2 linked regions of the Mus musculus genome follow. The protein of the gene in region 1 interacts with the protein of each later gene in a pairwise test. Links are inferred from orthologs where the notes say so. Each region holds a gene or a part of one and is shown on either strand. Other genes may lie near its edges.

Evidence for each region.
Region 2: the proteins of Bcar1 (region 1) and Nphp1 interact in a two-hybrid assay, tested with the Homo sapiens proteins (2 studies listed by BioGRID). The link is inferred for Mus musculus from reciprocal best matches to the Homo sapiens genes BCAR1 and NPHP1.

What each region holds. Positions count from the first base shown.
Region 1 is NC_000074.6:111,719,812-111,723,369, forward strand, and holds part of Bcar1 (breast cancer anti-estrogen resistance protein 1), read right to left. Parts: intron 1,521-3,558; coding exon 888-1,520; intron 1-887. UniProt on the Homo sapiens protein: Docking protein which plays a central coordinating role for tyrosine kinase-based signaling related to cell adhesion. Implicated in induction of cell migration and cell branching. Involved in the BCAR3-mediated inhibition of TGFB signaling.
Region 2 is NC_000068.7:127,786,083-127,790,366, forward strand, and holds the start of Nphp1 (nephrocystin-1), read right to left. Parts: upstream 2,810-4,284; 5' UTR 2,773-2,809; coding exon 2,704-2,772; intron 1-2,703. UniProt on the Homo sapiens protein: Together with BCAR1 it may play a role in the control of epithelial cell polarity. Involved in the organization of apical junctions in kidney cells together with NPHP4 and RPGRIP1L/NPHP8. Does not seem to be strictly required for ciliogenesis.

The sequences.
Region 1 (3,558 bases):
TCTGCAGGCCTGCTCAGGCCAGTTAGATGCCGAGCGTCTCTGTGGGCAGGCATGGGGCGATACTACCTGCTTTCTAGCTGGTATCAGTTAAGTTTTCACCTTGGCCCTCTGTGGCTTTGAAGACAAAGGCTCAGTGCCATAACTGAGCATGCACGAGGCCAATGTCTCAGCAGACATAGGTGGCTCTGGACGAGACATCATCAGAACACGAAACTGCCTTAGCTGAGCATGTGCTGCTGTGCCCACCACAGTCGGCTGCCTCTACCAGAGCCTCTGGGGCATGATCCTCGGTTCTCATTTAGTCCCTTTAAGTGACATACACCAGACAAGGTTCACACCTCGCCTCCCAGGCAGCTGGGTGGGACAAAGGCAACCGAGTGACATAACTACCCTCAAGACAGCTCCTTAGGAAGTGGGCAGTCTCTCTGGTCCCAGCCTCTGATGCAATTTCCAAGAGGAGATGCCTTGCTCTTCTCAGCTCTCCCTGTGCTGTCATGCTGAGGCTTTTCCTGGCCCACCCACAGGCTTTATGTTCACATCATATTTCCACTCACGCCAGAGTAAGCTGACCTCAATGTGGCTGTGCAGGCTCCTCCTCCCGAGCTCCTCCCCTTCAGGTTCAGCTATCAGGCCCTGAGAGAGACTGTCTTGTAGCCTGTGACTAACCTTTTCCATTTCAGGGCAGCCTACTGAAGACTTCCTCCTCCTCTATGGCCACCTTGGTGTCCCTACTCACCCACCTGCATCAAATAAATGGAGACATTTGTCCAGATACCTCCCTCCTGGACCTCAGACCAAATACATAATGATACTAGAGTGTGGGCACTGTGGTGGCCAGGTCCCTAGGCTGACCCCAGGGGGTTCCAGCTCTACCAGGTTGGCCTTACCTTTGCCGGTGGCTTTGTTCCCTCCCATCCGCGAGTGTCCAGAGATGGAGGAACTTGGTAGATGTCATGCCCTATGCCAGCGGAAGGTGGCACCTGATAAATGTCCTGGGCTGGACTTCCAGGCCCTGGGGGCACCTGGTAAAGGTCCGTGGCTGGGCTGGGAAATGAGTGATGAGGTGTTTGCTTGGAGAATGTGGACGTCTGTTTGGCTGGGGGTGACTGGAACTGTGGGTTGGGCCCAGGGGCTTGGTAGAGACCTTGCTGAGTCTTGCTGGGAGTGGGTACCAGGTACACATTGTCAGACTGGGGCTGGTACGCAGTGGGGAGCATGGGACTGTACTGGGAAGCTGGAGGTACCGGAGCATGGACGCCCTGGGGAAGGCTGGGCTGGGGCTGGGGTGGGGTGGCAGGTGGGCCTGGTCCAGGTCCTACTGGCTTCTTATCATACATGCCAACCAGAATCTTGAGGCGGTTACCAGGCACAATGCCCTGGCGCCCATGCAGTGAGCAGAGCCACCAGCCATCCAGGCCCTGAGTGTCCCGCTCGAGCACTGTCATGATGTCACCCTTTCGGAAGGAGAGCTCATCCGGGGATTCAGCAACATTGTCATAGAGGGCTTTGGCCAGCACGTTCTGGGGAGAGAAGACACAGGTGGTCATGAAGGTAGGAGGACGGGCACAGATCTCACCAGCTCCACCCACTCTAGAAATCAGTTAGCACCAGTTTTGGCTTTCAAAGGGGACTAGGTCACATCTGGCAATAGCAGGGGACCTTTGTCCTGTCCATCATCAGGAGCAAAGTGGAGTTGACCCCAGTCAATCTTTCAGCTGAGCTGGGGCCCCTCCAATGTGCAAAGGCAGCACCTGCCACCAGCACTTCAGAGATGGCCTCAATGTGTTACTAAAAACCATCCCTGGAGAGGTGGCTCAGCAGGTAAGAGGGAGCCTCCTGCTATGGCGGAGGAGCTGACGTTGGTCTCCAGCATTAACAGTGGATGCTCACAGCCCAGGTCCAGGGGACCCAACACTCTCTAACGGACTCTGACCCAACACACTCTTCTGGACTCTGACCCAACACACTCTTCTGGACTCTGACCCAACACACTCTTCTGGACTCTGACCCAACACACTCTTCTGGACTCTGACCCAACACACTCTTCTGGACTCTGACCCAACACACTCTTCTGGACTCTGATCCAACACACTCTTCTGGACTCTGATCCAACACACTCTTCTGGACTCTGACCCAACACACTCTTCTGGACTCTGACCCAACACACTCTTCTGGACTCTGACCCAACACACTCTTCTGGACTCTGATCCAACACACTCTTCTGGACTCTTTAGGCACCTATACTCACACATATATGCAGACACAGCATACACACCACACATTTTTAAATAAAATAAAATCTTTAAAATATTCCTGAGGTCTGAAGTCATGTGACAGGTTAAGAATATGGCAATTCATCAAAAGATGGCCTAGTCGGCCATCACTGGAAAGAGAGGCCCATTGGACACGCAAACTTTATCTGCCCCAGTACAGGGGAACGCCAGGGCCAAAAAGGGGGAGTGGGTGGGTATGGGGGACTTTTGGTATAGCATTGGAAATGTAAATGAGCTAAATACCTAATAAAAAATGGAAAAAAAAAAAAGAATATGGCAATTCATCTACTAGGCTGCCAATGAACACAGTTCAGTAGAGTTGAGAAACAAACTGACAAAACAAAAAACAAAAAAACAAAAAAACTACCCAGTTTCCTTTATTTTCTTCTTTCTTCCTTTCTCTGTCTCTTTCTCTCCCTTTATTTTTCAAGACAGGGTTTCTTTGTACGGCCTTGGCTATCCTAGAACTTGCTTTATAGACCAGGCTGGCCTCAAATTCACAGAGATCCACCTGCCTCTGCCTCCGGAGTGCTGGGATTAAAGGTGTGTGCCACCACTGCCCGGCCACAGTTTAAGATAAAAACACTGAGGATTAAAAAAAAGAACGAATGGAGAAACTCAGATGTGGGGAGAAAGTCCCTTAGCCTGAGCAGCAAGGTGTTCTTCCCACTCCAGCGCCAAGGTTCAGACCCTTGTGTCCAGGGTATTGCAATTCTTCCAGAGGAAAAAAATGATGGGTGGCAGAGGAATACACATATCTCATCATCTGCAGACCATGTGATCATCTTCATAAAAGAATCAAGAACTGATGAAAACGTCACAACATGCATAGAACAATAGACCTTGCACAAGACTGGAGAGGACAAAATGTTTTTATTACTCCAGTAAAAACTTGAGCAGAAGGAAAAACCACACCAAGCTCCGGGTGGGGTGCCCTGCCTCTGTAATGGGAGGTCAGTGTCTTACATTCTCTCAGGACAGCCACCTGCCCATCATTCATGGTTCCACTTTCCATGGCTTTCATTAGTTACCTATGGTCAACCATGGCACAAAACTATTAAATAAAAAATTCCAGAAAGAACAGGCAATTCTAAGAAGCATATTGAAAGCTCTTGCTACTCCACTCCACTGCCCTGGGACCAGTGCATCCACCATGCATGTGCTTCTTGCTTGCTAGTTAGTTGGTAGCAATCTGGAGTGTCAGACCTACTCAGCTACTCTAGGGCTTACTGTGCTCAGGAAAACCCCACTGCCCTGTTCCTAAGCATAGGAGCAGCAACTCTGA
Region 2 (4,284 bases), on another chromosome or scaffold:
CCCAGAATTAACTCTATGCCCACTTTCCCTCACTGACCCACTCTGTCTCTCCTGCCTCTGCGCCTCCCCTCTGTCGTCCACCTCATAGATTGGCTCCACTCCCCTAGATCCCACCACCTCAATAGTAGAAACAGTACATATTTAAGGATGATGTTTGGATACAAGTAAGCATATTTAATGATTTAAATCCAGGTTAATCATATCTAGCGTCTCAAAAGTATCACTTATTTATGATGAAAACACAAAACTTTGTATTTTTAAAACAAAAATCCAAAACTGGATAACATATAAACATCTCTCTCTCTCTCTCTCTCTCTCTCTCTCTCTCTCTCTCTCTCTCTCTCTCTGTTTTTCGAGACAGGGTTTCTCTGTATAGCCCTGGCTGTCCTGGAACTCACTCTGTAGACCAAGCTGGCCTCTGCCTCCCAAGTGCTGGGATTAAAGGCGTTGTGCCACCATGCCTGGCCTAGGAAATCTCTTAATCTGTTAAAGATTATTAAATAAGTTATTTAGTGGAAAAAAATATGTGGTGCTAGATCACATATTTAAAAAGTGAACTAGCTGGGCATGGTGGTCCATACCTTTAATGCCAGCATGCAGGAGGATCTCTGTGAGCTCAAGGCCAAACTGGTCCACTTATTAAGTGCAAGACTAGTCAGAGCCACATAGTTGGAGCCTGTCTAAGATAAATTAAGAATTTCAGAAAACACAGTCAGCTATTGAATGGATCACAGGGCCCCCAATGGAGGAACTAGAGAAAGCACCCAAGGAACTAAAGGGAACTGCAACCCTATAGGTGGAACAACAATATGAACTAAGCAGTACCCCGGAGCTCTTGTCTCTAGCTGCATATGTATCAAAAGATGGCCTAGTCGGCCATCACTGCAAAGAGAGGCCCATTGGACTTGCAAACTTTATATGCCCCAGTACAGGGGAACGCCAGGGCCAAAAAGGGGGAGTGGGTGGGTAGGGGAGTGGGGGTGGGTGGGTATGGGGAACTTTTGGTATAGCATTGGAAATGTAAATGAGCTAAATACCTAATAAAAAATGGAAAAAAAAAAGAATTTCAGAAAAACAAATGAACAATCCAGTAACGGCTATTTGTTACCTCTTTTTTTTTGAGATTATAATTACATAATTTTCCCTGTGGCTATGCTTAAGAGTAATAGGAATTCAGTGTCTTGAGAAAAAAAAAACACATAAAGGCAAACAAGAATCATTTGCAGTTTGCTGTACACTCTAGCCCGCCCTGATTTCCCCCTACATCTTTTTATATACACGATGTAAAACAAATATTATTGAAATAGTATGTATTGCACTTTGCATTCTTTTATATGTATATGAATACTTTGCTTGCCTGCATGTCTGTGCATCACATGCTGGCCTGGTGCCTGGAGGCCAGAATCAGGCATCAGGGCCCCAGGAGTTAGACAACTATGAGCCACCATGTGGGTGCTGGGAACTGTACTAGTGACCTCTGGAAGAGAAGCCAGTGCTCTCAACCACGGAGCCACGTCCTTACACGCCTTTTCTAACTTGATGTCTTACCACAATTCTTTACCCCCTAACACCAAAAGCTCTAGCAAAAATCTCTTCATAGTACCATCAGATCCCAACAGATGATACTGGTAGGTAAGGAATTACAAATGACATCACCTAGGAAAACCACCTCCCTGTCTTGGTAGCTGTGTCTCCTGACAGTCCTTTGTGGTTAAACACTCTTGAAGCTGAAGTTACATTGTTCCTGTTAGAACTAAGGAGGCAAGAACACTCAGTTGTCACACTTGTATAAAAGGGCTGCATCCTCAAAAGACTCCACTTCATTATATTGCTTACGTTGTAATTTTGACATTTGCTGTCCCCATACATGGGTACTTCAAGATCACCAACAGAGGGATACACACTCATGTCAATATCGATTAAAACTTGTTTAAAATGTACATTGGGAGACCTCCCAGGCTCCTCCGGCTCCTGCAGCCCACTCCTGTCTCTCTGGAGGGTACGCTTTGCTTTGCTATATAAACTTCTGTTTTAAGTTTTGTATCCTGCCACTAAGACTCTTTCCTCAAGACAAGAACTGAGGAGCCCTATGGAACAATAATAAATTTATGGTTAGTTTATCCACCCTCTAATATTGATCACTTATTCATATCCAGTTTCTTTTATTATAATAAGCATCTCTGCCCAAATTGAAAATTATTACAAGTGGTAGATTCCTGGAAATGTATCAACCAGCCTAGGAGGATCAATGTTTGCTATATCTTGTCAAACTGCTGTCCAGAAATGCTGTAGCTCATACACTATAGCTTATACATCGCCTGTTTCATCACGTCTTCCATGCACTGTGCGTTGTGACTTACAATCTTTGTGATCTTTTGTGTTTGATCATCTTTGAAATTAACTTTTCTGAAATTACTAATCTGTCCTTGGTTAGTTTATTAAGACTATACGTTGACACCTGTTACACTTTGAGAAAGTGATGAATTTCAAAGGAGAGGGGCGCTGGGCTGGGTGGGTCTGGCTAGTTTAGACAAGGGCCTGAGGGATGAGGAGTGTTGAGGGTTGGTGAGTCGTTAGACCGAATTCTTAGTTGACCCGCAAGGCTTTCTGGAGGTTTTATCTACGGCGGGGGCCCCGGGTTAGAACCCGGCGCTTGGCTCCCGGTGAGGAGCTGGGATGTGGGACCCTCTACCCCGGACCTACCTGCAGCTTCAGCTCCTGCCCGCGGCGCCTCAGCGCCTGCAGCGGGTCCCGCGGCCGCCGGGCGAGCATCGGCCTAGCCGCCGCCGGCGGGACCGCGCCGGTTGTCAGGGAAACCAAAGCTAGGGCTCAGCAAGATGACGCTATCAGCGGGCGCCACAACCCCGTGCCACAGGTTGCACTAAACGGTCGGTTTAGGCTTTGCAAAAAAAAAAAAAAAAAAAAAAAAAAGTCCTTTCCTTTCCTCTGGATTCCTAGGGATAGTAGTAGAGGTCCCCGGGAGTCCCTGACTGCAGGTCTCATAACTATCACGACCTCACACCGTGCGGTGCTCTGTTCTACACAGCTTTCTGAAGCCGGGTCTGCGAAACTAATCTTCAAAAATAGTTCTAGTATGGAAAACCTTAGCTATGAGAGCTTTCCCTTGGCATTTGTGGGACTCGATTTCGCTGCACGTTCACTCTGAAGGTGGTTTTATTGTTAGTCTCATGGTGTAGCCCTGAATTCACAGAAATCCGCGGGCCTCTCTGCCTCCCTAGTACTGGGCTTAAACGTATGTGCTATCACACTTGGCCCAGAGACGGTTTTAAAATCTTGCCATTTGGGGGTATTGCTGAAGTGTCTCTCGAAAATTTTCATGTGGTAAATCCTCAATTCTTTGGGGGTGCTGATTCTGCCATGTGGGACAAGCCTGCGGGCAAATAGATTTCTCAAGAGCCCCAGTTTTCTTTTCACTCTCAGGAGACAGCCCTCTAAATCCAATACCCAAACTCGACAGCAACCTTGGATTTAAGAATGGTGATGGTCCAAGCTCACCACTGGATAGAGCTGGTATACTATTGCCAAGGTATCTATTATTGTGACTCCTGACTCCCAATTTCAATGGGCAAAGTACCGTGTCCATGGAAGACTTTTCTGGTGGGGGGATGGGGGGGGAGGAGAGTATTTGGTTTCGGACGGGGAAACCAGGGACCACGAAACCCCTGCCTTGTTCTCCAAGAACACTGGTCACTGAACTTACTTCAGGGAAACCTGGGAAGGAACTGAAGTGCGTATTTTACATATCAAAGCAGACCGGGTCTCCAGATTCTTCCAGCATCCCTCAGCCCTTATCGAACATACCCTGACCCTTAAACTTTACAGCCCAGGTGCTGGTCTGACCTTCCCCCCTGAGGCTCTTCCCTAAGTAATCCAGAGGTTTTGGTCTCTCCCTCTACCGGCAACCTTTCTCTTTCTCTTTCCCCTCCCCAACTTCTCTCTTCCTACTGTCATTTCTCTGGCCTTGGTCCTTTGGGTCATTGAACTCACTAATCTGGCTTGAATTGGCTCATTTCACCGGTGGAGAAATAACTTATCAGAGGGAACTTCATATAGTTAAGTAGGAGGGTAGAAGGAAAAGAAATGTCCAGGGGAATGGTCCACTACAAAGCTAGGGACACACAGGACATACAAACAGGTAGTAGTAGTAGAGAGCAAGGGCATAGGGCACCTACATGTTTAGAGCAGGATGCTAGAAGTGACTTAGAAAAGGATGAACATAGCCGGATGCTGCACTTAAGCAATGAGACGAGGGCTGCTGACATG